Lytechinus pictus: one gene and its partner. The protein of the gene in region 1 interacts with the protein of each later gene in a pairwise test. Links are inferred from orthologs where the notes say so. Each region holds a gene or a part of one and is shown in the gene's direction. Other genes may lie near its edges. The genes, in order: RCC1-like G exchanging factor-like protein and nucleoside diphosphate kinase 6-like.

What was found.
Region 2: the proteins of RCC1-like G exchanging factor-like protein (region 1) and nucleoside diphosphate kinase 6-like interact in binary tests that used the Homo sapiens proteins (3 or more experiments, as listed by UniProt). The link is inferred for Lytechinus pictus from reciprocal best matches to the Homo sapiens genes RCC1L and NME6.

What each region holds. Positions count from the first base shown.
Region 1 is NC_087245.1:39,113,363-39,126,384, reverse strand, and holds the start of RCC1-like G exchanging factor-like protein, read left to right. Parts: upstream 1-6,319; 5' UTR 6,320-6,395; coding exon 6,396-6,450; intron 6,451-7,735; coding exon 7,736-7,864; intron 7,865-9,052; coding exon 9,053-9,119; intron 9,120-12,183; coding exon 12,184-12,235; intron 12,236-12,486; coding exon 12,487-12,571; intron 12,572-13,022. UniProt on the Homo sapiens protein: Guanine nucleotide exchange factor (GEF) for mitochondrial dynamin-related GTPase OPA1. Activates OPA1, by exchanging bound GDP for free GTP, and drives OPA1 and MFN1-dependent mitochondrial fusion. Plays an essential role in mitochondrial ribosome biogenesis.
Region 2 is NC_087261.1:7,005,471-7,018,655, forward strand, and holds the start of nucleoside diphosphate kinase 6-like, read left to right. Parts: upstream 1-8,438; coding exon 8,439-8,444; intron 8,445-13,185. UniProt on the Homo sapiens protein: Major role in the synthesis of nucleoside triphosphates other than ATP. The ATP gamma phosphate is transferred to the NDP beta phosphate via a ping-pong mechanism, using a phosphorylated active-site intermediate. Inhibitor of p53-induced apoptosis.

The sequences.
Region 1 (13,022 bases):
AACACATTTCACCTCGGAAATTGAACTTCATTATTTTGTGTGATTTACAAACTGATTTTTTAAAAGTGCTCTGTAAACATGTCAGTTTTATGGTCTGAATATTAATATTTTCTGTTCGTGCTGCGCGCTCGCGAATTTTGATTGGTACCTATCATTCTCGTGCATTCCATACATTTTCTAAATATCCCTTTTCGGGTCTGATTGTCAAATCGTATCAGGTTATACCGAGTATGTTTTACGTGACTGCTAAGAAAGCACGAATGCCTGTGAGCAAGCAATCAGGGGACCAACGGCTTAAGGTCCTCTCCGAGGGACCTGGTAATGAGGATAAATGCCTTACCAAAGGGCACTCGCGCACCACTTGGGAATCGAACCCGGTTCACCGGAATCCGAAACCCCCGCTCTACGACTGAGCTATCGCGCCTCAGCTAGCGCTGCACGCTCGCATTTTGATTGGCGATTTATGTATGTCTCAATATTGATTATACAACAAACTACTTGAAATCCCCTTTTCATGACAGTTTATCAAAAAAATTGGCTCACGGTTCGCGTTCGCATTAATGGTTAAATATATGCATCATATTTATAGTTACAAAGGTGCTTGAAATGTCCAGATTTCAGGCCATACTATCAGATTTCGCGCCCTCATTATGCATTAATGAATATTTAAGATATTTCGGGTGATTTCATGCAACGGTCTAGAGTGGGCCATAATGTGCCTGCACTGTACATCTATAGGTCCTTGGTTGAAGTCAACGACCCTATATAGCTATAAACACCCCTTGAACCTGAATTTGGTCAATTACGCCGTCTAGCACGTTTTGAGAACAATGGATGAAGGTGTGAAAATCACAAAGCAGCTAACAATAGGAAAAATCCGTTTCAATGTGAATGTGAAACCCTGAACATGCTGAATGCCTCATTGTCTGTATGTTACTGCTGTGTACTAGTAGGTCCATGGTTATAGATCAGTTGCGTGCATGTCTTCTCCAAGCCGATTCATAGCTTGTCGGTGGCTTTAATGCACGTAAAATACAAATATACATGTAACTCTCTGTCCCATTATAGGGCATTTTGAACGGAATCGCCGATGAGATAATTTTGACAAAACAAAAATGAATCACACTAATTATGCAGCAGCAATGTTTCTAAACATTACATGATCAAAGAAAAGACACGGGATGATATTTATTAAATTTGTTAATGGCAGCTGGTCTTTATGATAAAACCATAGGTCTATTTTACCTTTAAGACATGAGAAAAAAAAAAAAATCAATTATATAATTAATGTGTGTGTTTTACTTTTTACAAACGTGTATCAATCGAACATGCTGACTACATGAAGAGTGTCGAGGTCCATTACATGATTTATTGGTATTTACACCGAGTTATCAAATAATGGTACACGATTTTAGAAAAGAAGTTTTGAGTGTCATCTCGTGTACGTCAAATCTTAGCAAATGTTAAAAAGTTTCTGAAATGTCAATACTGTGAAAGTATATGCACTTCATTAAACGTGGACATCAGCAGGGTGGTCTCCATTAAAAGGATTTTTTTTTTTGCCCTGTCGATGTGTACCTCTCGATGTAAGGAGGCGATCGGAGCTGCACCCCTTCCATATTGTCAGTGAGAAAGGAAGAAAGTGATTACTCGAGATGGAGGGTGAAAAAGAGGAAGAGGATCTGTAATGGGAGGAAGAAACATAATAGAACGGTAGGGCCGGAAGGAGAGGTTGGCCATATAAAATTATGAAAACATTCAGGTCACTATTATCAAAATCAAGTTCAAGTTTATTTAATACAGGATAGATGCTAATCTACAAAATCCCCAAAAGAGAGAAAAGAGTTGATATAAGGTTAAGAATTCAGACTATAGAACGGAATACCATTTACAAACACAAAATAGGCTATGCACAAGCACTTCCACCCGTATGCAATACTTTAATGAGGGTCTTCATCCGTCCAATGACATGCAAAAAGTACAAAATTTCCCTTCGTGTACTTCTCTTCATTTTGTGAAGAGAAGTACATCCTTTTCCCCCAGTGATTAATTGATTACAGTGATTAATTTTATTATGTCACAATAAACCTAATTATGGCAATTTATGCACCCCCAAGAAATAGTGCTGAAGGCTCGGTCTATCTCTACACACAGACCACACACACTTCGCACAGTTCAGTCAAGGCGGTACCAAACGGCCGGTGCCAAATATACGGAAATTGTGAGGAGCGCTTTTCCTATAAAAGGAATTGATATGCATAATAAGGGCTTAAAACTTGACCAAAAAGTTTATCACCCCAAATTTGAGAATATGGACCCCGGATATGGACCCATGTTTAAGGCCAATATCTAAAAATTGGGGGCATGAACCCATGTATCTAAAAGCAAGTATCTAAAAATTGGGGCCATGCATGTTTAGGGATTTTCCAGCATAAAACCATACCCCATGTTTAGAGATACTATCACGTTTGAGCGAACACTGCCTATTGAAACAAAGGGTATGAAAATTATGCTGGGCTGGAATTAGCCTTCCATTTTTTGTCAGTTTTTGAGGGGCAAATTATTTGGCTTTGGAACTTGCAATGTTATGGGCGTTGTGATAAATTATTGATCAACCAGTTAGGAATGTTTAAGCAAGTTTTATGAATTATTAAATTGAACAAAAATTACACATCTTGGGCAACATTTCAACATTATCATGTGGCTCTCAGCAATGTGTTCATTGGAGTCAGGAAAATAGGGGGTGAGATTGGACGTAAGTGGGATAAGTAGGTTGATGGAAAAAGGGTCAACATAACATTTTAGCCCCCCTCCCTCTCTCTCGCACTCCCCTTCTGTTGAGTGACTGATTTTTATTGTCATGTACGCGTGAAGTCCAGAGCAGAATGTTAATTTAATTATAATGATAATTGGGGCATCAACTTTTTCCTATCAACAATTTATCAATAAATCAACTATTTCAATGGGCAATGTAATCAATCAAACATTCAGTTTTTCAATAAAGTATTTCATAAATTATAATCAAGTCAATTTCTTGGTAATCATTCAATAAAAAGAAAGAAAAAAAATGACTATCAGCCACCGGTCACTTCAGTGGCAAATAAGTTTTGAAAAGGCTACCCCCGGGAGGCTACCATCCAGGAAGTGAGAGGGGTCTGGAAAATTGAGGGGGGGGTGGAGATACATAAGAATTTTATTTGTAAAATGACAAAAAGATGATGAATGCCCTTTCAACCAAGTCTTACCATATCTCGCTTGTAACAGGTACCATCACATTACTCCGACTCACAAAACACACTGCTTAGGTCTACAAGATGAATAGGCTACACTAAATTTAAAATTCCTGTTCACTCAACCATCATTCTTACAAGTTTCAAAAATCATATTTGTTGGGGAAAATCCAGCATAAGTGTTACCTTCCCCTTAAAAATCCCAAACTTAGGATTTTTTTAAGAAGTCACCATGCAATCAAATTTTGCCTCATTGTGATGTCAACCATACGATAAATAGACATAAGGAGAAAAATTTGTCCTTAATTGACATCGTATACAATTATGTTACCTGGTTATTGATCATTCGTTCTCTGTATATGAGGTTCATGGGTCGAATCTCGAACCAACTGAAGAGAGTTGCAGCTCCGTAATTAGCTTGAAGTAGAAGTTCGCCTTGGTGAGAAACACTCATGAAACTGTTCAGTCTAGGACCTACCTTTAATTTTCAAATGAAATTCAATCTCGACAAACATGCCCCTTCCCCCACTGTCGTTCCATCACAATCGCCATAATCATAATCATAATCATTGTAATCATCAAAACTAGGATTATTATCATAATTAATCTCAGCACCTTCATCACTGTCATTATCACCGTCATCATCATAAAACATTAATCATCACCGCGGGCGGCGGAGCAGAGGATATATCCTTTGTTCATAGGGTGCATCATTATTGTCCCCCACAGCAAAATATTATCCTCTGATCATCACTATTATTGCTACCATAATCACCAATCTTGTCGTAATAAATATTCTCGTGATCAATTACGATCATTATACCATCATCATTATATCAACATTATAATTATTATCACCATTCTTGTCATTGCCATCATCGTTGGGATTACAATCATAATAAAGTCATTGGATTCAAATGGGCCCACGCAGGATTGCTTCGTAGCAAAATCGACCTGTCGTACTTAATACGCTCTCTAGTTCCGTCGGAGTTCCACTGAATAGGAACACTACGACATCTGGTTATGTATTCACTAGTTGGTCCAGGATTAGGACTAACATCGCCAGACTGAAGTATCTTGAGCTGAAATGTTGCAGACGAATTGTAGTAATAAGATACTCGAAGTTTTGAGTACTTACAGTGAATCTCCTTAGTTGGGTGTCCTGTATTGTATTCAATTTCACAAGGTAGACTTGCAGTTGACACTTGAAAAAACTTGAAAAGCACAGTGAGAGTGAATAGGCACAGTGTCAATGGCTCCATTGTGCTTCAAATGCAGGCATTCAATAGATAGAAACTGTCCGTTCAAGTTCAGCGACCTTGAATGGTGATAGCTGGACATATAATACACATGTACAAAATGGCTTACAGATTTACAAGCTCAAATCAAAACCATGTACAAGAACATCCAGTAATATCTCATCAATACAAGCAAGATACAGTTGCAAATTTGGCTACAAGTATCCTTGCAAATAACAAACCTATCTGGTACAATTATTAATGAGAAACAATACATGTAAACAGTAGAAATCATACACAGCTCAGAGAGCACAAAAAACCATGTCAGCCACGCAGGGCGACTTACAAAATCATATCAGATACGCAGTAGTGCGCGTCCTCATGACACGATCTGACCCATGCGGTCAAGCCTTTTATACTGTACGCAACTCGGTATTTAAGTGCGACTCTAAATCAATCTTAAATCTTTGTGAAACACCCCCTGGTGTGTATTCAATTAACTTAACACAAGAAAGGATCACCAGTTGATCATACATGTAAAGTCACTCGTAACTTACGAACAGCTTTATGAAATACTCATTGGGGCTTTGTCTTACAGAGAGTTGTGATAGGTACATGTAGGGCACTTCCATAAAATAATCAACCTTTTTGTACGTCCGACCCCCATTTTTCTCAAGTTTTACTTCACTTCATAGACTGACCATTGTCATGGTCATTTGAGAGCATTACATACTATCAAAAGAACAAGAAATCAGAGACAGAGAATTTCATGAAAGTCCCACATATATACATATTTTATGGAATTGCCCTGTAGGTTTAAATCAAACTCAAAGTGTGATAGATCTAAAAATCCTATCACTTAATTACACAAATTAATTTAGATCAATTGCAGCAATTCAGGTTTGATTCAAATTTATTGTTATATGGCAGCTCTTTGTAAGATGGACCCCAAAATTTGTATATTTTTATCTGTTTTAATATATCAGAAGACACAAGGTTCTTGATTTTGGCTTTTGAAGGGTTTGGGGTTCAGGTGGGTGTTTCAAAAAGCTGTTCGTAAGTTAAGAGCAACTTTAAGAACGACTGGTGATCCTTTCTTGTGGTAAATGGTATATTTATTGGCGATGGTTTAGCGTGTAAGAAATGTTCACCAGTCGTTCTTAAAGTCGCTCTTAACTTACGAACACTGTTGAACAGCTTTATGAGACAGCCCCCAGGATTATATTAGGATCAGGATCATGATTAGGGTTAGGTTTACGGTTAGGATTTGGTTTTATGTGTACGAGCAAGTGTCTGGAGCAAATGTCTTATGTCATGGGATCTTACCTTTCTAAAACTTTATGAAACAACACAAAATATTACAATTACTACTCATGTCTATTTTATATTGTTTTATAATAATATACATTTTGGTTTAGAGTTACTTTGAATATGAAAAAATATATGTATATGAATGATCTTATCTTTATGCCTCCATGCTCCGCCACAATTGACACTTGTCAGTGAAAAGGACCTGCAGCTTGCTTCTTATGAACCAAATTCCACCAATCAGGGAATGATTTTCCCAGTTATCACATTGGAATCAATGTGCTCCACATGTTTTAAAGATTAACAGAAAAAAATATTTGTGTAGCAGATTTTTTTTCCCACAGGACTACAGAACGTTGTTGAGAGCTTTTGTATTTTGACCAGAAATACTGATCAAATTACATGTAGATAGGCAAATTATTCTCTGCCAATCTAGAATTGTTTCACATTTCTTGTGGAGTATTATATTGTAATTTATCTCATCGCAATGGACTTTTGCGTATTTGATTTTTTTTTAACGTCATCTTTTTCCTCTCTTGGGCAGATCACAACAGCATCTTGTGGGTATGGGTTTTCACTGATTGGCAGCCATACACAGGACACCAGTAAGGTCTGGGGTATGGGCATCAATACAAACTCGCAGATTGGATATCATCCCAAAGCTATGACAAGTGGTAAGAAGAAAAATAAAACTATTCAGAAATGGGGAGTTATCCAATATTTTCGCATGATGACATTAGCAGACATGCCAACCGTTCCCTTTTTAGAGTATTTGTTCCTTTTTTTTGTTGCTATAAATACACCAATACCTTTTTTGTATGATTTGTTACTTTTTTTCAAAATTTCTGATCATGGAGTATGTATTATACACAGCGTGTGACACTAGCGCCGGTTCGACAGTCCCAGACCAGGTAAAAATCACTGTCAGGCCAGTAACTTGTTGCCTGAAAAGAACAAGTTAATCCTTGCCTATGAGCACATGTTTATTGGGTGAAAGGGAGGTACGATAATACGCCAGTGGCGGACTGTACCAGACTGGAAGAAGAATTATGAAGAATTTTTCAAGTAGAGTCATTTCATATGTTTTTTCACCGATCTCACTACAACAGGCTGGCGATTGTTACGTTGAGACAAATTTTTAAAAATACTCTTTTTTTGTCAAAAAATACCTTTTTTCCTTATAAGAATACTTTTTTTGGTTGTAGAAGGTTGGCAAGTCTGCATTAGCCCATATTCTGAATACAGTTTTAACTTTAATTTAAACTATGATCTAAAAGTTGCGGTTTAACTATAGTATGGATAGCCAATTGAAATGAAACTGTTACATGAAATTATCTTTGAATTTCAGCCCCAGGTATGGCAGTTTCCCAGTGATTTATACATTTCCCGCCCAGGTGGGAAATACTGGGGAAAAACTTGTAAATGCTTGGAAGTACTCATTAAAGATGTACATGGAGTACCTGAAAATACATGAAAATATTCAAGAGGCATATTTTATAGTATATCCATGCATTTCCCATTTTCCTTGTACATGTAATTTTTGAGCTAGTATTTACTAGTGATTAACTACTGTTTCCTACTTGGGCCAACTCTTTTCTGCCCTCTAAATTTGTATTCCGTGTCAAGTGTTTGAATCCCACCGCAGCTTGGCATCCTTTGGCAAGGCATTAATCCACACTTTGCCGCTCTCGACCCAGGTGCTAAATGGGTACCCGGTAGGATGAGAAAGTCACTGTAGCTTGTCCAGTACTGTGTGCGCTTCACTGGTGACTGACTGGAATACTCCCCAAGGAGTGGAGGATGTGCATACATTGTGTACGGGAATGACCGATTGAATCCGATGACCGGGGTAATATATATGTAAAGCGCTTAGACACGTTGTTCCGATGTATTAAGCGCTATATAAAAGCGGATTATTTTTATTATTCTCTTTTTTTGTTGCACCTGCTTATTTGCTAGTTGAGGGAATGCATACCATCATATCACCAACTGAAATCACATTACCTCTGAAGAAGCCACGGAAGACCAGAGTTTCTCAGGTATCCTGTGGTAGATCTCACTCCCTTATACTTACAGATGAAGAAGGTGGTAAGTACAGAAATAAATAATTTCACGTAATGCATATGATCTTAGGTGCTAGGTCAGCTACATAGGGACCCAAGGGGGGGCACTCAAAGTTATTTTTGCTGGGGGTGTGTGCCTCACGAAAAATCTGAAATTTGAAATGGGGGTCTAAGGAACTGACTAAATGGGTAAAGTATGGGGTCTTGGGGTATCAAGAGAACTGAAAATTAGGTCTGAAAAAGGTGGTCATCAAAGCGGCAGGTCCCCTTACCACCAATATATGTGAGTGCCCCCCCCCCCCCCCCGGGCATGGGGATATATTAATATTATTAATGCTTCAGTGACATTTCCCCCAAGGCGGCCGTATGGCTAGTCGAACACAGCTGTTTTACTATACAAATAATGAATATTCATTCATGCAATGGACAGAATACTTTATGAGGTGAAAGATGAAATAAGATGAAATTGATCATTCATTTTATCTTTCACCTCATGAAGTATTCTGTCCATTGCATGAATAAATTCATTGTTTTATATTGCACCTAAAATAGATCCTTGTCATTTGGCATTTATAAATTTGAATTCAGTGCGAATGCGGTCTGTTGATTGCCGCATACATACAAACACACTTACTATAAGACCGAAAAGTTTACGTGTAGGCCACTGCCAGTGGTCAGTGTTGCACGCGCGTTCAATGGAAAAGTCGTATGGATCCAAAATTGCATGGATGATGACGTCATTGTAAAATGGCCTGAATGATCAACATCAAACAACCAATCAAAGGACAAGGATCTATCCAGGTGTCATATAATCATTTTTATTCAAACCACGTATATGTAGCTGATACAAAAAATGTTAAAATGGCTGTTTTTTACTCGCAATACGGCCGCCATAGGGGAAACGTGACTGCGCCATAGCCTAAGTACAAGAAAGGGTCATCAGTCTCATGTAAAAGCCATGCGTATAACTTACAAACAGCTTTATGAAACTTATGTTTATGTGGGAGATATCATTTGCTTATCTTCACGGATGAAGAAGGTTGTCAGTACATGAATAAAGATTTCCGAAGAATAGCATAAGGACAATATAGTATGTTGGAAATAAAGAAGAACATATGATTTTGTTATTTTGCAAATTTCAATGCATTGTCAAGTGATCATGGTTTTAGCACTTGTGTTTTTATTTGGATTGACTTTCCTTTTCTATTTGCAGTATACAGTCTTGGCAATAATTCTCATGGTCAGTGTGGAAGGCCCATTATACCCCATGAAGATTATAGGTAAACGCTAACATCACATGTGTTTCATAAAGCTGATCTTTAGTTACAAACAGTTTAATGAATGACTGGCATAAGAAATGCCAAATATAAAATTTGAATACAGAGTCACACCCGCTTTCATCTGTTATACAAGGACCACTTCTCTTTAAAGGAATGGTCCAGGCTGAAAATATTTATATCTCAAAAAATAGAGTAAAATTCACAGAGCAAAATGCTGAAAATTTGATCAAAATTGGATGACAAATAACAAAGTTATAGAATTTTAAAGATTTGCGTTATTCCCGTGAAACATTTCTAGGCATGTCTTTATGAATATTCATTAGGTGGGCTGATGATGTCATATCCCCACTTGTTCTTTTGTATTTTATTATATGAAATTAGGTTTATTCAAAATTTTTCTACCAAGAACTAAAACAATTGGATTGACAACTGATTAAGTGCATTAATAGTTATTTATTGCCGCACTTATTTCATCATAATGGAGACACATCATTTACACATGTATGAAAAATGAAACATTTATGATTTCATGTAATAACATGAGAAAAAGGAAAGTGGGGATGTGACATCATCAGCCTACCTAATGAATATTCATGACGATGTGCATATAACTGCTTTCACAAAATATTGAAAGAAATTATAATTCAATAACTTCTTTATTGTTATCCGATTTTGATGAAATTTTTAGCATTCTGCTCTGTGAATTTTACTCTATTTATTGAGATATGAATATTTTCAGCCCGGACCATCCCTTTAAAGACCGCAAGTTTGGTATTCCTAGAATACTGGTAGTACTCTGCAGTGAAACATGTATTAAATGAACCTTTGTATAAAGACCACCTGCTTATATATAAACTCCTCAAATTTTTTTTGGAAATCTGACTTTGATCGATAACCCCTCCTCGATTTTAGTGAATATTCATGTGTTGCATATAGATCATTTAATTTTCTTTAAAATGATACATGATATGATTATGGTTCACACGAAGGTGCAGTGCCTTGAAATGTGGGGCAAGGTCAAAATTCAAAAGTTGCAAAATTATACAATATTGAAAGTCACTGTTCTTTTTTCTGTGGTGATGAGCAAGTTTCTCAGCGGTTTCTTTTGTTTTCATGCACCTTAACATCAGCATTAACATGGAATCAAACACACCTCTGCACACATGGCACAAGGAAACACATAACAATCAAATGTGCATGGGTATCTCAAACCATGACTCAAACCATGTTATCTCACAGAACCATCACAACATAAACCACAACTAAACATAAAAAATGAAGAAGTAGGGGCTTGATTTGAATGGATTTTCATCTTTATTGACACAGACAAAAGAATCATGTTCTTTATTGACCCTTCATAACCATTTCTACTCGTTTTGCTGCTTTTCAATTCAGACCTCATCCAACACTTTTGAATCCTGCTCTTTTTGTGATGGCATGATCATAACAAGTATGGTATCATTTTAAAGAATATTAAATGATCTTTTGAATGATATCAAATTTGCATTGTGTAAAATTTGGAGTTGGGAGAAATTAATGGCCAAACTCAGAATTTTTTAAGGGTTTACATTTCTCCCTTATGAAGTGAAGTATATTATACAGATTTCACTGAATTTCACATCATTCCATTTTAATTGTGACAGAACATACACTAGCTGTAAGAATCTTCAACATCTATATAACTTCAACTAATGTAAGAATGATTGAGAACCCCTATGGCTTTCCATATTCTAGCCACTGTAGAATATTTTGTTATGATTCTGTCTGCAGGAATGATTCTGTCTGTGGCGGGCAAAGAGATAACTCTTTGCCCGCCACAGACAGAATCATTCCTGCGCCACATTAATTTCAAGGTGTAACCCTGGCGGGGTTTTGCGTGAGCTGTGCTAATTCAGCTCACAATAGCTTTTGATCGGTCTATTAGTAAAAGATTTGTGTGTACACTGCGATGAACACACCACTTTTGTGTATGTGTGTACGAACAACAGACTTAATGCACTCTGTGTGCATTGTGAATCGAATGTGACTTGTGTCGAACTTGGCAGTCTGCTGTACTAGTTGAACAAAGTGGGCAAAGAATTAATGTGCAGCTTTTAGAAACAGCCCCCTAATACAATTTATTTAGTGTATAACAATTTTAACATTGTCAATAGTTATCATGAATGATCAATATCAAATTATGAAAATGATGATGATCATAAATTTATTAATTTGTATGCTCTTCACCTTTTTATTGTGTCATATCTTTGATTAAAGGACAAGTCCACCGCAACAAACAGTTGATTTGAATATAATGACAAAAATCTAACAAGCACAACACTGAAAATTTCATCAAAATCGGATGTAAAATAGGAAAGTTATGACATTTTTAAGTTTTGCTTAATTTCTCAAAATAGTTATATTCACATCCCGGTCAGTATGCAAATGAGGGCACTGATGACATCACTCACTCACTACCGGGTTTTTCTTTTGTATTTTTATTATATGAAATATGAAATATTCTCATTTTCTACTCATTGTCCTGTGAAACAAAGTTTTATTTTGCCCTGAACATGTGGAATTACCATTGTTTAACATTTTATGGTTCAGTCAAGTTGATCCTTATTGTCAAATCTGTAAAAATTGAAATATTGTATAATTCAAACAATAAAAACAAAAGAAATAGTGAATGAGGGACGTCATTGATTCTCTCATTTGCATGTGACAGAATTGTGCATATAACTATTTTGTGAAAAATAAGCGAAACTTTTAAATGTCATAACTTTCTTATTTCACATCTGATTTTTATGACATTTTCAGCATTATGCTTGTCTGATTTTTTTCTATCAATTCAAATCAAAAATTTTCTGAGGTGGACTTGACCTTTAAGCAGTTGTTGCATTGTGACTTTGACCAATTGCCTACTGGTAACTGATTGCCCTGAATACCAGAATCCAGTAGTCAACAGATTTACTGTTTAAATGCCCTTAAGCATAGTTGTGCATTTGGTTTTAGATATATTGCTTGCTCTCTATCAATTAGTCAATGAATCAATAAGTTCAATTTCATCCTTTTGTTTTTTCAGTTCTAATAAAGTCATCCATAAGATTGAAGGAATAGACGGTAAAATAAAACAGGTAAGTTCACATTTACAGTTATTTCATGTAAGTATATCATTGGGTGTTTTACTTGAATATTTCTGTTTAAAATTATTTTTCTGTCCCCTTTTTCATGATTTATTTGTCTTAAAAATACCAAGAAATAAATATTCACTACATATTGCAGATCTGGCAGCATTGGCGGAAGCATAAATTTAGACCGCACTCGGTCAAGATTCCATGTACCGGTATCGTGTCTAATATGATCTGCATTTTATCTTTACATTTAGGTGTGTTGTGGTCATGATCATAGTCTGTTTCTGACTGAAGATGGGCATGTATACAGCTGTGGATGGGGAGCTGATGGCCAAACGGGTAAGATACCAGTCTTAATTTCACAACTTTGAAACAATTTGTCTCCACCCTCAAAAATTGTAAATGAAGGATTGCAAACATGGCCTTTTGAAAGTGGCTTTTCAAACGGAAAATCTCGGAAAACCTATTTTTCCTCAAAATGCACAGAACAGCTACAGAAATTACTCCAAAATCTCAAGAAAATGCAAATACTTACTAGCCACAAAGCACGATCTCACTTCACTGCAATCACGACAATCCAGTCATCATGACTGCACTCGACTCTCATCACTCGATCGTATTTTAAATTAAGCGCAAGCTCAATTTAGCGACCCCCAAAAAAACGTACCAACCATAGAGGTGGATAAAGCTAGAAGGCAGCACACGGCCGTACCGTGTGTTGCTGCCCTCTACGTTTAAAGATATAACAGAACGATATCAAAATCGCGGATAGGTGCAAATCGTTGACTGC
Region 2 (13,185 bases), on another chromosome or scaffold:
AGAGGTATCATTCGTTTTTAATTATTTTTATGTGTGGAAGTTCATTTATTTATTTATCAATCTATATTGATTGATTAATATATTTATTCATTAATCATTTAATTTATTTGTATTATTTTTTTTCTTTTGTGATATAGAGAGTCAGAGGTATCATTCGTTTTTAATTCTTTTTATGTGTGGAAGTTCATTTATTTATTTATTATCTATATATTTATTTATTATATATATATATTTTTTGTTATCTGAGAGGCGTGCGTAGGCCTAGGTCTTATGTTGATACAGGCTCGTACATTTCATTTATTTTTATTCATTCTGTAAGTTCTTGTGGATATACAAATTGATGACGGCAATCATTGTAAAGCTCAGAATATCTACTCTTTCACCTGGTATCCTCAGAAGATTCATCGATCATTCAGGCATGAATGACTTTAACAATTTGAAGAAAGTATAGATATACAATCTAAATTTAAAAATAATCGTTTACCTTTTTTTAATTAGTCGTAGTTGAAGGGTGTTATAACCTTATTTTTCGTTACATAAAAGGAATCTATATTTTATTTAAAGGTCAAGTTCACCCCAGAAAATTGTTGATTTGAATAAATAGATTAAAAAAAATCAAACTCGCATAACGCTGGAAATGTCATCAAAATCGGATGTAAAATGAGAAAGTTGTGATATTTTAAAGTTTCGCTTATTTTTCACAAAACAGTGATATGCACAACTCATTTGCTTGCAAATGATACAGTTGATGATGTCCCTCGCTATTTCTTTAGTTTTTTTATTATTTGAATTATACAATATTTCAATTTTCACAAATTTTACAATAAGGGCCAACGTGACTGAACCATATATTCCACATGTTCAGGGAGGAATTAATCATTGTTTCACTTGACAATGAGGAGAAAATTGGAAAATATATTTCATATAATAAAATACTAAAGAAATAGTGAGTGGGTGGCGTCATCAGTATCCTCATTTGCATACCGACCTGGATGTGCATATATAACTATTATTTTGAATTAAACTGAACTTCAAAATGTTATAACTTTCTTATTTTGCATCCGATTTTTATGAAATTTTCAGCGTTATGATCGTTCGATTTTCTTTTATTTTTTCAAATCAATTTTTTTAGGGTGGACTTGTCCTTTAAATTAATTTTTTATTCATGTATTTGTTTGTATTAAACTTTTTGTTTTATTTGATGTTAGACCAACAATTATCGTTAATTTCTCTTTTTTGAGTATGGATTTGATCTCTCTCTCTATACCGTATATCATTATATATATAACAAACTATATTTTGTTACTTTATAATACCACTGAAGCCAATACGTGAAACGTTTATATATATATAGAGAGAGATAGAAAGAGAGAGAGAGAGGGGGCCTAATACATTACTATTTCAAGTTCTCCTTCGTATTGCTTCACTTATTCATTTCCTGGTTTATTCATTTATTCGTTCATGTTTGTGCTGTTTTGGGAAAAACTGTTGTCTATTAATTGACACGATAGGCCTACCCCGAGAGGGGGCAGTATACCCTGACGTAAAGTTTATGATAATTAAAGCAGAAACTAGAAAAAAATATTCTTAAAGGTTTGCTGAAAATATATTTTTTAATTGCCACGCATTTTGGTTAAGAAGTTCGCTATTCTCTAATCAAATATTTCCATTCTCACACTTTAATTAGTGTTTATTATATCAAATTGTATTCTACTCATTAATGTACTGAATGACTTGCTAAGATCAATTGTAATGTCACTTTCACCTGCCCAGTAACCTGCACAATCAAGGTACTAATGGATAATTTGTTTTTCTGTTCCAATCATGAAGAAGCGAAAACGAAAATCAGCCCCTTAGTTTGGGGTTTTTGAAAACACAAAAACGAAATCACAACGAGAATAACGTGTTGTGATTTGGTTTTTGTATATCAAAAAACAGAAAAATTAAATTAGAAAAACTTTTGTGCTTTATCTGATTTCTCATTCTAAATTTGTGTTTTTATATATATATAAAAAAAACAATATCAGAACATGCCACGACTCGTGACCTCACTATGTCAACTAAGTATATGTATGATGCAACTGCATGAAAAACAGCGCCTATAGAATTGTGGGATGTCGCCTAGCAACAGGATACTATGTTAGTGGTAATTAAACTACATGTAAATCGATGTAAAATATTGATATTTACAGATGAATCAAACATGACCAAGCAATATCATTTTGGTTATATATCCTAAATATAATGCTAATCAAATAAAGCTAATTTCTTACCCTCCAGAAACTATTGAACGAAACTGACAAGGTAACAAATGTCACTTAAACACAACAGTCATATCATTTCGTCTTCAAGAAATATAATTTTACAAACAAAGAAGTTTATGAAGCATGATCTGATTATTGAATCAAGAATTATGTAAATCTCAAATATAGAGAAAAAAAAATATCCACGCAAATCATGTTCGATAAACGATCAAGCAGGGCACTGGGAACGATTTTTAGTAGGGGGTGCTGTGGGTTTTGTTTGAAAAAAATGGCAAAAAAGAAGAAAAAATATTACACTCCAAGATGATTGGGATTTTGGTAAAAATTATTGCTCCCTAATAAAAAAGAATTACAATCGATTATAGACCTATAATTTTATGTTCCCATCAATTCAAAGAACACAACGGTTCAAGGAAAACGTCAATTATACTAAAATCATTTAAAATGCATTATTATCCTTTGTAATGGATCAAATTTAACAAGGAAAGTTAAGTTTTGAACAAGATGCCCCCCCCCCTCTCTCACTCCTACACGTCAGCAGTGTTTAAAAACATAACCTTTTCGTGTCGATATATATCAACAAAATTCATCTCGAACTTCGATTGCATTCGCATCCTATTTTCAAGTGTGAAAAAAATCAGCTCGCGCTCCTCTTTCATATCCTGTTCATGCGTCACTGTAAAGTCCTTTTCCCATTTTCAGTTCAGTAATTAAAATATTAAGTAAACGTTTGTTGTTTAGGGTTAATAAGAGCTTGGTGTGCTCCATTCATAGCTTTTAACACATGGATTATAATTTTTTTTTTTTCACAGTTAGCGTTCTCGTTTAGTTCGGCCGTATAGTCATGGTAGGCCTATCTTGTTGGTAAATATTAAAGTAAAATGTACATAAACTTCCATATCACAACGCCCCCCCCCCAAAAAAAAAAAAACACTTACCTTTTCCTCTTTGAGTGGCCGACCAGGGATTTCATGAATGGCAATGTGTCCAACCGGCCTGTACGGCTGTACCCCCGCCCCTTTAAAAATACTGAACCCGTACTTCTGTGTATATTTTTTTCTGACCAGACAGACATATGCGCCACCAACTGTCTTCTCAAATTTGCCCCCCTCCCCCCGCTACGAAATCTCGGATCTGGGGGACACATTAAACTCCTGAAATAAAATATCACAGATAAGGAAATAGTAGAATAATTCGTGCATGAAAATAAATTATAAGAACACATTGAGACACTTTTCCGAAATTATTAAATCTTTTAATAAAATCGGGGGCGAGGGTGTATGAATTAGTAAATAAATGAATACCATATAGGCGAAGAAAAAAATGCAATATTTAGATGGTGAATTAATGAAATGACGATCGATCAATAAATGTTTTTTTTTAATAATTTGTTGATGCGATATGCCGTTATTTCAGGCCTACTACCATGTATACCAGCAAACAATCGAAATCCATCATTTTTAAAACCATGCTATCAAATACAATTACAAACAATCTTCAAGTGGATTTATTAAAATGAAAGCAGGATGAGAAAATAATTTAAGTTGATAGGTTAATTAGCTGAAGAAATACTGGAATATCAATGAACGGTATTAGTAAGCTTTAAAAAAAAATAAAAGATTAATAAATTGATATTTAGGTAAAAGAGAAAACGTACTTAACGTACTTAGATAATATAGATAATGATAGGCCTATCCCCAATTGTGGGGGCCGGGGGGGGGATAAGTCTCAGTAAAATATAGATTAAGTTAATTTTAGCGTAGATATCCCTCAAGCAATAATAAAATTGACCAAAAGAAAATTAATACATTTTTCCCGAATGAATATGCCTATTCGTTTTCTTTTCTGAACTTAAATGGATGAAAAGTGGGGAAGCGGGGGGGGGGGGGGGATTTATGAAAGGAATGAAAAAATACAAATTGATAATACGCAGGAAGCCAGATGAATGATTCAATATTGAATAAGAGAAAAAAGCCGATTTGAAAAAAATGTATATTGACTTCTTACATCCAGGTGATTATAAATAGATTATGATACATGAATGAATAAATGGATTCATTCGCAGCATTACGTCAAGTGAAAGGTTGGGGGAAATTATACAAGAGCTATATAATTTAATCATTAATGACACCTCTCTCCCCGCAAAAAAATAATTCAAATGAAATGCTGAATAAAACGAGGTTATCAAATAACTAGCAAATACAAATTACGATGGATAATGGAACAAAAATAACAACATAATATAGGCCTAACGTTACATCGAAAACACTCCAAAAAAATTAGCAAATGAATGAATCATTCACGGATTTATCAAAAGTTATTCAGAGAGCAGATCTTTAAAAGAAAATATTAGCAACACGAGGGCGGCGTCAGGTTGTGAGGGGCCTGGTTGATTTTTCTCTGAAAACTGGAAGGATAACATGCCTAAAACAAGTCGCCCATATGGATCCTACTCCATTGTCATGCAGAGTTTTAATACTCACTTCTTTATTATTCCCCTTGTTTTTTTTTATAAATTGGAGCCCCCCGGGCCCCGTACAGCGCCGCGCATGATATCACTCACCGAGGAATCAAGACCCACGACCACGCTATTTTCCATGATATAACAAGTGTAAGGGGCCTCGATAACGAGTATACTATAGCCGTCATCCGAGCCCCACACACGGCGAATGCTTGGACAAGCGCATTGGACATCACAAAAAAACTGAAAACAAATAAATTAAATGATTAATGAATAAATATACATATAAATACATTAATTAATCAATATGAATACATTAATTAATCAATTATAATAGATTGAAATAAGTGAACTTCCACACATAAAATAATTAAAAACGAATGATACCTCTTACTCTCTCTATCACAAAAGAAAAAAAAACTGAAAACAAATAAAATAAATGATTAATTAAGCAATTAAAATAGATTGAAATAAATGATACCTCTGACTCTCTATATCACAAAAGAAAAATAAACCGAAAACAAATAAATCAAATGAATAAGATACATTGATTAATCAATATAAATAGATTGATAAATAGATTAATAATATTGTATTAATATATAAGTAAATCGACAAATAAATTTCTGAAGAAGTAAATACATACACATTTTATTAGTATCTCTCCTTGTTTATTTTGAAAATAAATTGGAGGCCCTCCCCCCCCCCACCCCCCCCCCCCCCACTCCAGCGCCGCCCATGATAATTCTCACCGGCCGGGGAAACAAGCCCCACGACCACGTTATTTTCCATGATATAACAGTGCAAGGGGCCTCGATAACGAATATACTAATAGCCGTCATCCGAGCCCCACGCACGTGCGAATGCTGGGAAAAGCGCATTGGACGGGGCCAGTTTCGCGATTATCTTAGGATGCAAGCTTAATAATATACTCGTGATATAGGCCCCGCTACTGTTTTGGAGTGCCTGAAGTGCCGTAGTGCGGGGCCTATATAACGATTATAGTATTATACTCGTGAAACAGGCCCCGCGAACGGACATTCTGAGCCATTCAACACAGCAGCGGGGCCTATATCACGAGTATATATAGTGAGCTGAAGTTAGCAACCTAGATATTGAGGTATGATCGATTACAAGTTTTTCTCGAGCGGGGCCTATATCACGAGTATGCCAAACATTCTTATCTTTTTCTCATCTTGCTTTCCATCGTATGCTGAGGCCTGAGCGCGTAAATTTATTACTCGCGCATAAAAATTAAAATACAAAAAAGTCAAAAGCACGCTAAAAAAGATAAGTGGTATTCTGAAAACGTTCTTATCTTATCTTTCACGATATTTATGATATTTAAGATAGCTTGAGGGTTATCACATCTCACGATCATGACGATGTTCGCATTCTTTCTTGCTCAAAATAGATCATGGCTACTGGTACTAATGAGTATTCTTTCCACCCTTTCTTTCATCCACCCTTTATTTTGTTTTTCACCCTTTTTTCTATCTTTTTTTCTTTATTTATTTTCACTTTTTCTTCCTTTCTATCTGTCTGTCTATCTTCCTTTCTTTCATTCTTCATTACCAGTATATCTTTTGCTTTATTCTTTTGAATTTTTTAATCTCAACCTTATTTTTATATTGCTTTGTTTCATTTATTCTTCATCTTCCTTTTTTATTTTCACTCTTTTGTTTTTTTCCTTTCTTTTTTTTCTTTACTAAGTCTTTATTTTTGCTTCCCCCCCCCCCCTTTTCTGTTTCTTTCTTTTTTCCCCTTTTTCTTTCTTCCTTCACTATTTTTTGTAATTTTTCTTCTTTATTTATTTTCTTTCATTCATTCTTTCGTCTTAATTTGTTTTCCCCATTTTATTCATTTCATTTTTTTCTTTCTTCCCTTAATTTTTGTTTCACCTACATAGCAGTGTGAGACTATAGGCGCCGCTTTTCCGACGGCGGCGGCGGCAGCATAACTTAGAAAGTATATGGACCTAGTTCATGAAACTTGGCCATAAGGTTAATCAAGTATTACTGAACATCTGCCTGAGTTTCATGTCACATGACCAAGGTCAAAGGTCATTTAGGGTCAATGAACTTAGACCATGTTGGGGGAATCAACATCAAAATCTTAACCTAAGGTTAAGTTTTTGAAATGTCATCATAACTTAAAAAATATATGGACCTAATTCATGAAACTTGGACATAAGGTTAATCAAGTATCACTGAACATCCTGCATGAGTTTCATGTCACATGACCAAGGTCAAAGGTCATTTAGGGTCAATGAACTTTGGCCGAATTGGGGGTATCTGTGAATTACTATCATAACTTTGAAAGTTTATGGATCTGATTCATGAAACTTGGACATTATAGTAATCAAGTATCACTGAACATCCTGTGCAAGTTTCAGGTCACATGATTAAGGTCAAACTCAAAGGTCATTTAAGGACGTTCCACAGTTATGTTTGTGCGCATTATGATCTGCGCATAGTTTACACTCTGCGCGCTGACGTCACAATGGATGAACAGGTGATTAATTAGCTGCGGGTATGTGCTGATTTTTCTCATCTTCTGCACTTTAACTGCAGATCCGATGCGTTATTTCATGAAGCTAAAGAATGGAATTATTCCATGGACCATTCAAAAAAGAGATTCTCTACAATTTCAAAATACTTTACTCTGCAGTGCTGCCAAGAATTACGAATATTACCCCGAGTTTGAATAAATGGTAGAGTGGTTTTGATTTTTTCTTCACATAGATACAAAGCATTTGGCGCATTTTTGGTGTTTTAAAAAGCACATTTGCTCTAATAAAATACTGATAGTTTAAAAACAAGCACATGAACCCCTATTTTTTAATGTTTGTTCCTCTTAGGTATACCTTCCTCTACAACTCTACAAATTTTGGTTAAAATGACATGGATTTTGAATAAAGTGCAGCCTTTTTGTACTTTTGTAGTTTGTTACTGAAATTTCACATTTTTTAGATTGGGATTTTGTTATCTTTTACGCCATTTTTAAGAACTGACAGTGCTGTTAAACTTAAAATTGCAAACAAATAGCACTATAAGTATATTCTCCATTCTAGCGATACAATTATTAACTCTCTTGCGAAATTTGATGACTTTTTCATGTATTTTTACTGAGTAATACAGGTTTAAACTCATTGTAGTAATCTTGGGCGGTCTAAAAATGCCAAATTCTTTTGAATGCGCAATTCTTAAGAACATCAATTTGGGTGAACTTTGAAGTTCTATAGCAAAAAATCAAGCACATGGACCTATGCTAATTTTTGCATATTTCGAATATTAAGGTTCTAAAGTATTTATGTGCAAAGTTTGGTGAAAATGACATGGATTTCACTTTAACTGTGGAACGTCCTTAAGGTCAATGAGCTTTGGCCAAATTGGGATTATTTGTTGAATTACCATCATAACTTTGAAAGTTTATGGATCTGATTCATGAAACTTGGACATAAGAGTAATTAAGTATCACTGAACATCCTGTGCGCGTTTCAGGTCACATGATCAAGGTCAAAGGTCATGTAAGGTCAATGAACTTTGGCCATGTTGGGGGTATTTGTTGAATTACCATCATATCTCTGTAAGTGTATTGGTCTAGTTCATAAAACATGGACATACATGTAAGAGTAATCAAGTATCACTGAACACCGTGTGCAAGTTAAAGTAGTTTTCAAAGTCAGCACTGCTGCTATATTGAATCGCGTGATGCAGGTGAGACCGCCAGAGGCATTCCACTTGTTAAATCTTTTTGTTTCATTATTTTTCTTTTAATATTTTTTCTTTATATTTTTGGGTTCTTTATTTTCGTTCATTTGTTCTTTCATTTTTTTAATGCTTTCTGTCACTTTTGTGTCTTTCTTTCTTTCTTCTTTTTTAAAATAATTTTTCGCTCATTTTTTTTTCGTTCATACTTTATTTACTCTTTCTTTACTTTCTGTCTTCTCTCCGTCTTTCTTCTATTAATTTCTTTAAAAAAAAATTCTTTATTCCCTCCATTAATTTTTCTTCGTTTCTTTTTTGTTTTTTGATTCATTCTTCATTTTTCCTGCCTTTTTATTTTCCCTTTTCGTTCTTTTTCTTTCTTTCTTTGAATTAACCTTTCTTTCGATTTCTTTTAGTCTTTATTTTTGCTTTAATTTCTCTTTCATCTTTTCTCTCTTATCTTTTTCTTTCTTTCTTTTTCTCTTTCTTTGTTTATTTTCCTTTTTTCTCTCTTCCTTCACCTTTTACATTTTTTTTTCCTTCCTTTTCTCTTTTTTTCTTTATTTTACTCGTTTTTTCTGGTTTTTTGTTCGGTTCTTTATTCCTTCATTTTTATATCCTTTTAATTTTTTTTTTGTCTTTTTTTTTGTTTTTTTCCTTTAAGTTTCTTTCTTAATAATAATAATAATAGGCATTTATATAGCGCCATCTATCTAGAAATATTCTATTCCGAGGCGCACAAGAAAAGAAAGAAAGTTTGGATGAGTGTCAAAGTGCCAATAACTAATACTGTTAGAAAAGATAAGACTTCAGTTTAGATTTGAAGGTCTCCAGTGATGGTATCATTCTTTATGTAACGGCAAATTATTCCAGAGAGAAGGTGCTGAGGCAGAGAAAGCTCGCGCATCATATGCTACACGTGTCTTGGGAGTCTTAAGAAGTTGCTGGTGTGATGATCTTAGGCTACGAGCTGGTGTATAAGGCATGACAAGCCTTTTCTTTCTTTAGTTTTACCTTCATTTTTTTACCTTCATTTTTTATTGCTCACTTTATCGTTGATAATAGTTCTATTTCTCCTCCTTTTTATTGTCTCGTCTGCATAGCAGAGCGAGACTATAGGCGCCGCTTTTCCGACGGCGGCGGCGATGGCCGCATCGTCAACATTGAAATCTTAACCAAGGTTAAGTTTTTGAAACGTCATCGTAACTTAGAAAGTATATGGACCTAGTTCATGAAACTTGGACATAAGGGTCATGAAGTATTACTGAACATCCTGTCTGAGTTTCTGGTCACATGACCAAGGTCAAAGGTCATTTAGGGTCAATGAACTTAGACCATGTTGGGGGAATCAATATCGAAATCTTAAACAAGGTTAAGTTTTTGAAATGTTGTCATAACTTCAAAAGTATATGGACCTAGTTCATAAAACTTATACATAAGGGTAATAGTGTATCACTGAATATCCTGCCTGAGTTTTGCATCACATGATTAAGGTCAAAGGTCACTTAGGGTCAACAAACTTTGGCCATGTTGAGGTTATTTGAGGAATTGTCATAACTTTAAAAGTTTATTGATCTAGTTCATGAAACTTGGACATAAGAGCAACCATGTACCCCTGAATATAATGTGCGAGTTTCAGGTCACATGACCAAGGTCAAAGGTCACTAAGGGTCTGGCACTGTGCTGTGCTGTACACATAATATCTTTCTATATCTTCGAGGTGGGATCACCAAATTCATACAAGAGGTCCATCTCCTGAAGGCACAGGTCAAGTTCGAATATGAGTCAAATTTGAATAAGGTCAAAGGTCAATGAACTTTCCATGATTGGCACTGTGCTGTGTTGTACACACAATAACTTTCTATAGCTTTGAGGTGAGATCGCCAAATTCATAACAGACGTCCATCTCTTGAAGGTACAGGTCAAGTCCGAATTTGAATAAGGTCAAAGGTCAATGAACTTTCCATGACTGGCACTGTGCTGTGTTGTACACACAATAACTTTCTATAGCTTTGAGGTGAGATCGCCAAATTCATAACAGACGTCCATCTCTTGAAGGTACAGGTCAAGTCCGAATTTGAATAAGGTCAAAGGTCAATGAACTTTCCATGACTGGCACTGTGCTGTGTTGTACACACAATAACTTTCTATAGCTTCGAGGTGAGATCACCAAATTCATACCAGAGGTCCATCTCCTGAAGGCACAGGTCAAGTTTGAATATGAGTCGAATTTGAATAAGGTCAAAGGTCAATGAACTTTCCATGACTGGCACTGTGCTGTGCTGTACACACAATAACTTTCTATATCTTCGAGTTAGGATTGCCAAATTCATACAAGAGGTCCATCTTTTGAAGGTGCAGGTCAAGTTCAAATGTGAGTTGAATTTGATTAAGGTCAAAGGTCAACGAACTTTCCATGACTGGCACTGCTGTGTTGTACACATAATAACTTTTTATATCTTCGAGGTAGGATTGCCAAATTCAAACAAGAGGTCCATCTCTTCAAGGTGCAGGTCAAGTTCGAATGTGAGTGGAAATTGATTAAGGTCAAAGGTCAATGAACTTTCCATGACTGGCACTGCTGTGTTGTACACACAATAACTTTCTATAGCTTCGAGGTGGGATCGCCAAACTCGTAACAGACGTCCATCTAAGTCATATAGCATACATGTAGTTTTGACATGCAGTCTCTTCATGACTGCAATATGCAGGCGAGACAACGCTTGGCTTTTGCCTTGTTTGTTTTCCCCTTTCTCTTAAACTCTTTCTTCTTTTTCCCCTTCCCCCTTTTTTATCTCTTTCCTCTTTTCTTTTCCTTTTTTTCGCTTCCTTTTTTTTTGGCTTGTGACTCGTCAGGGGGGCATTCTCCCCCCCTTAGGTACACTAGTGATACCATAGTCTCTGAAGAAATCTACACAACTGAGGTGAAACCAAAAAATGTTACAACAATTAGACTGATGAACCCAAATACAGTGGCGCCGCATCCGAAGTGGGCTGTTGCAAATTCAAGATTTTGTTATAGAAATATCCTTACCATATTTTGCATAGAAACGCACTCACTCATCCCACACACTGATAGACACAGAGAGCATTCAAATAAATTGGATATTCTTCCAAGTTCTTTTCCTCTGTACTTTTCTCACAGCTCTTTTTACTTTCAATTTCTCCTATCGTTCCTCTTGAACCCCCCGCCCTCTCTCTCCTTCTCTGTTCTCTTTAATTATGTTAACATTTTATTCCTAAATAAGTTTGCTTCTTTTTTTTCTTCTTGATTTTTTTCTACTTCTTTTCTCTAGGTGAACTCGGCGCTTCTATTAATTTATTTTCCTTCCCTTTTACGGCCATTTTTAATTATCATTTACCTCATCTACCATTTTTTCTTCATCTGGATTTCAGAGACATAACTATAACATGCAGGACTGTTTATAAAACATTGTCTGGTTTTAGAAAAGTATTCATCCTTTTATTTGGAGTGTCAGTTTCAAAAATTGATTGAATAAACTAATTAAAGTGATGAATAAAAACAAAGGAGACAAAATGAAACAAAGCAAAACAAAAATGGTGAATAATGTCAACGACTTAAATGATAGTAATAATAATAATGATGATAAAAACAACAATAATAATATATTACTACTACTACTACGACTACTACTACAACAACAACTACTACTACTACGACTTCTAATTCTACTACTGCTGCAGCTGCTGATATCATGATAACAAAAATAGTAACAACAACAATAAAAAAATGGGTTTTAGGACAACTCCCCGAGAGGACTACTCCTCCGGAAGGCGACCCACCCTTGACAACTCCCCAATGAAAACTCTCCCGAGGACAGGCTTCCCGGAGGAAAACTGATTTAAACCGGCACTTCTATTTGAGTGACAAATTAATGTACCTTCTTTTCTCTAGAACTTTCACCTTGTTGTTATTCTGTTTAAATGAAAAAAAAAATGCTAAGATAGGATTGCCCATAATGAAGGTTCAATGTTCCAGGTGTATGCATTTTCATAATATTACCAGTTTTCTTGTTAAACGTTAAATGCACAAGATTATGAAGCAGAATTACCATAAAAATAAACGTTAAATGAGTAGAGTTAATGATTAAGTAGTGTCAGTGAAATAAGGCATCATAAGTTTGTACTGTAAGTAGCGGAAACACCCCTCCCTGCACCCCCCCCTAGAGAGACGTTTCGTGCGCGCAGTACGTGTTTCGCACGATTCGCGTGGTCACCGCCCCTAAATGAAATCCTAGCAACGCCACTGATTCTAAATTAGTTAACAGGAATTATTTGCCCCCCCCCCCCCCCCCCCCGATACAGGCACCTGTTACGCTGCTGCAACGAGGCGTCTTAAACCACTCGACCTCGGCAACCGATGAAGGGGAAAAAAAAAAATCGGTCTCGCGGGCCTTCGGTCTCACGGACCCTCGGTCTCGCGGAACTTCGGTCATGTGGTCGGACCCCCTCTAAACATGTACAGTATACATTCACTAACTCACTCCCACACTACAAAATCATCCAGCGACATGGGCAAAATCTCGAATAAAAAGTGAAATTTTCTTACTAAATCACCATATCTCGCGTCAAAAATATCACCATCGGTACTTCTCAACATCAAAAAGGGGGGAAAATACTGTGATTGATTTAAAAAACCATGAAATAAAACATTGGTAACCTATATTTTTCATTGTTTGAACTGATGATCAGTAACATCACAAAATAGTGTATAATTTAAGGAAATATG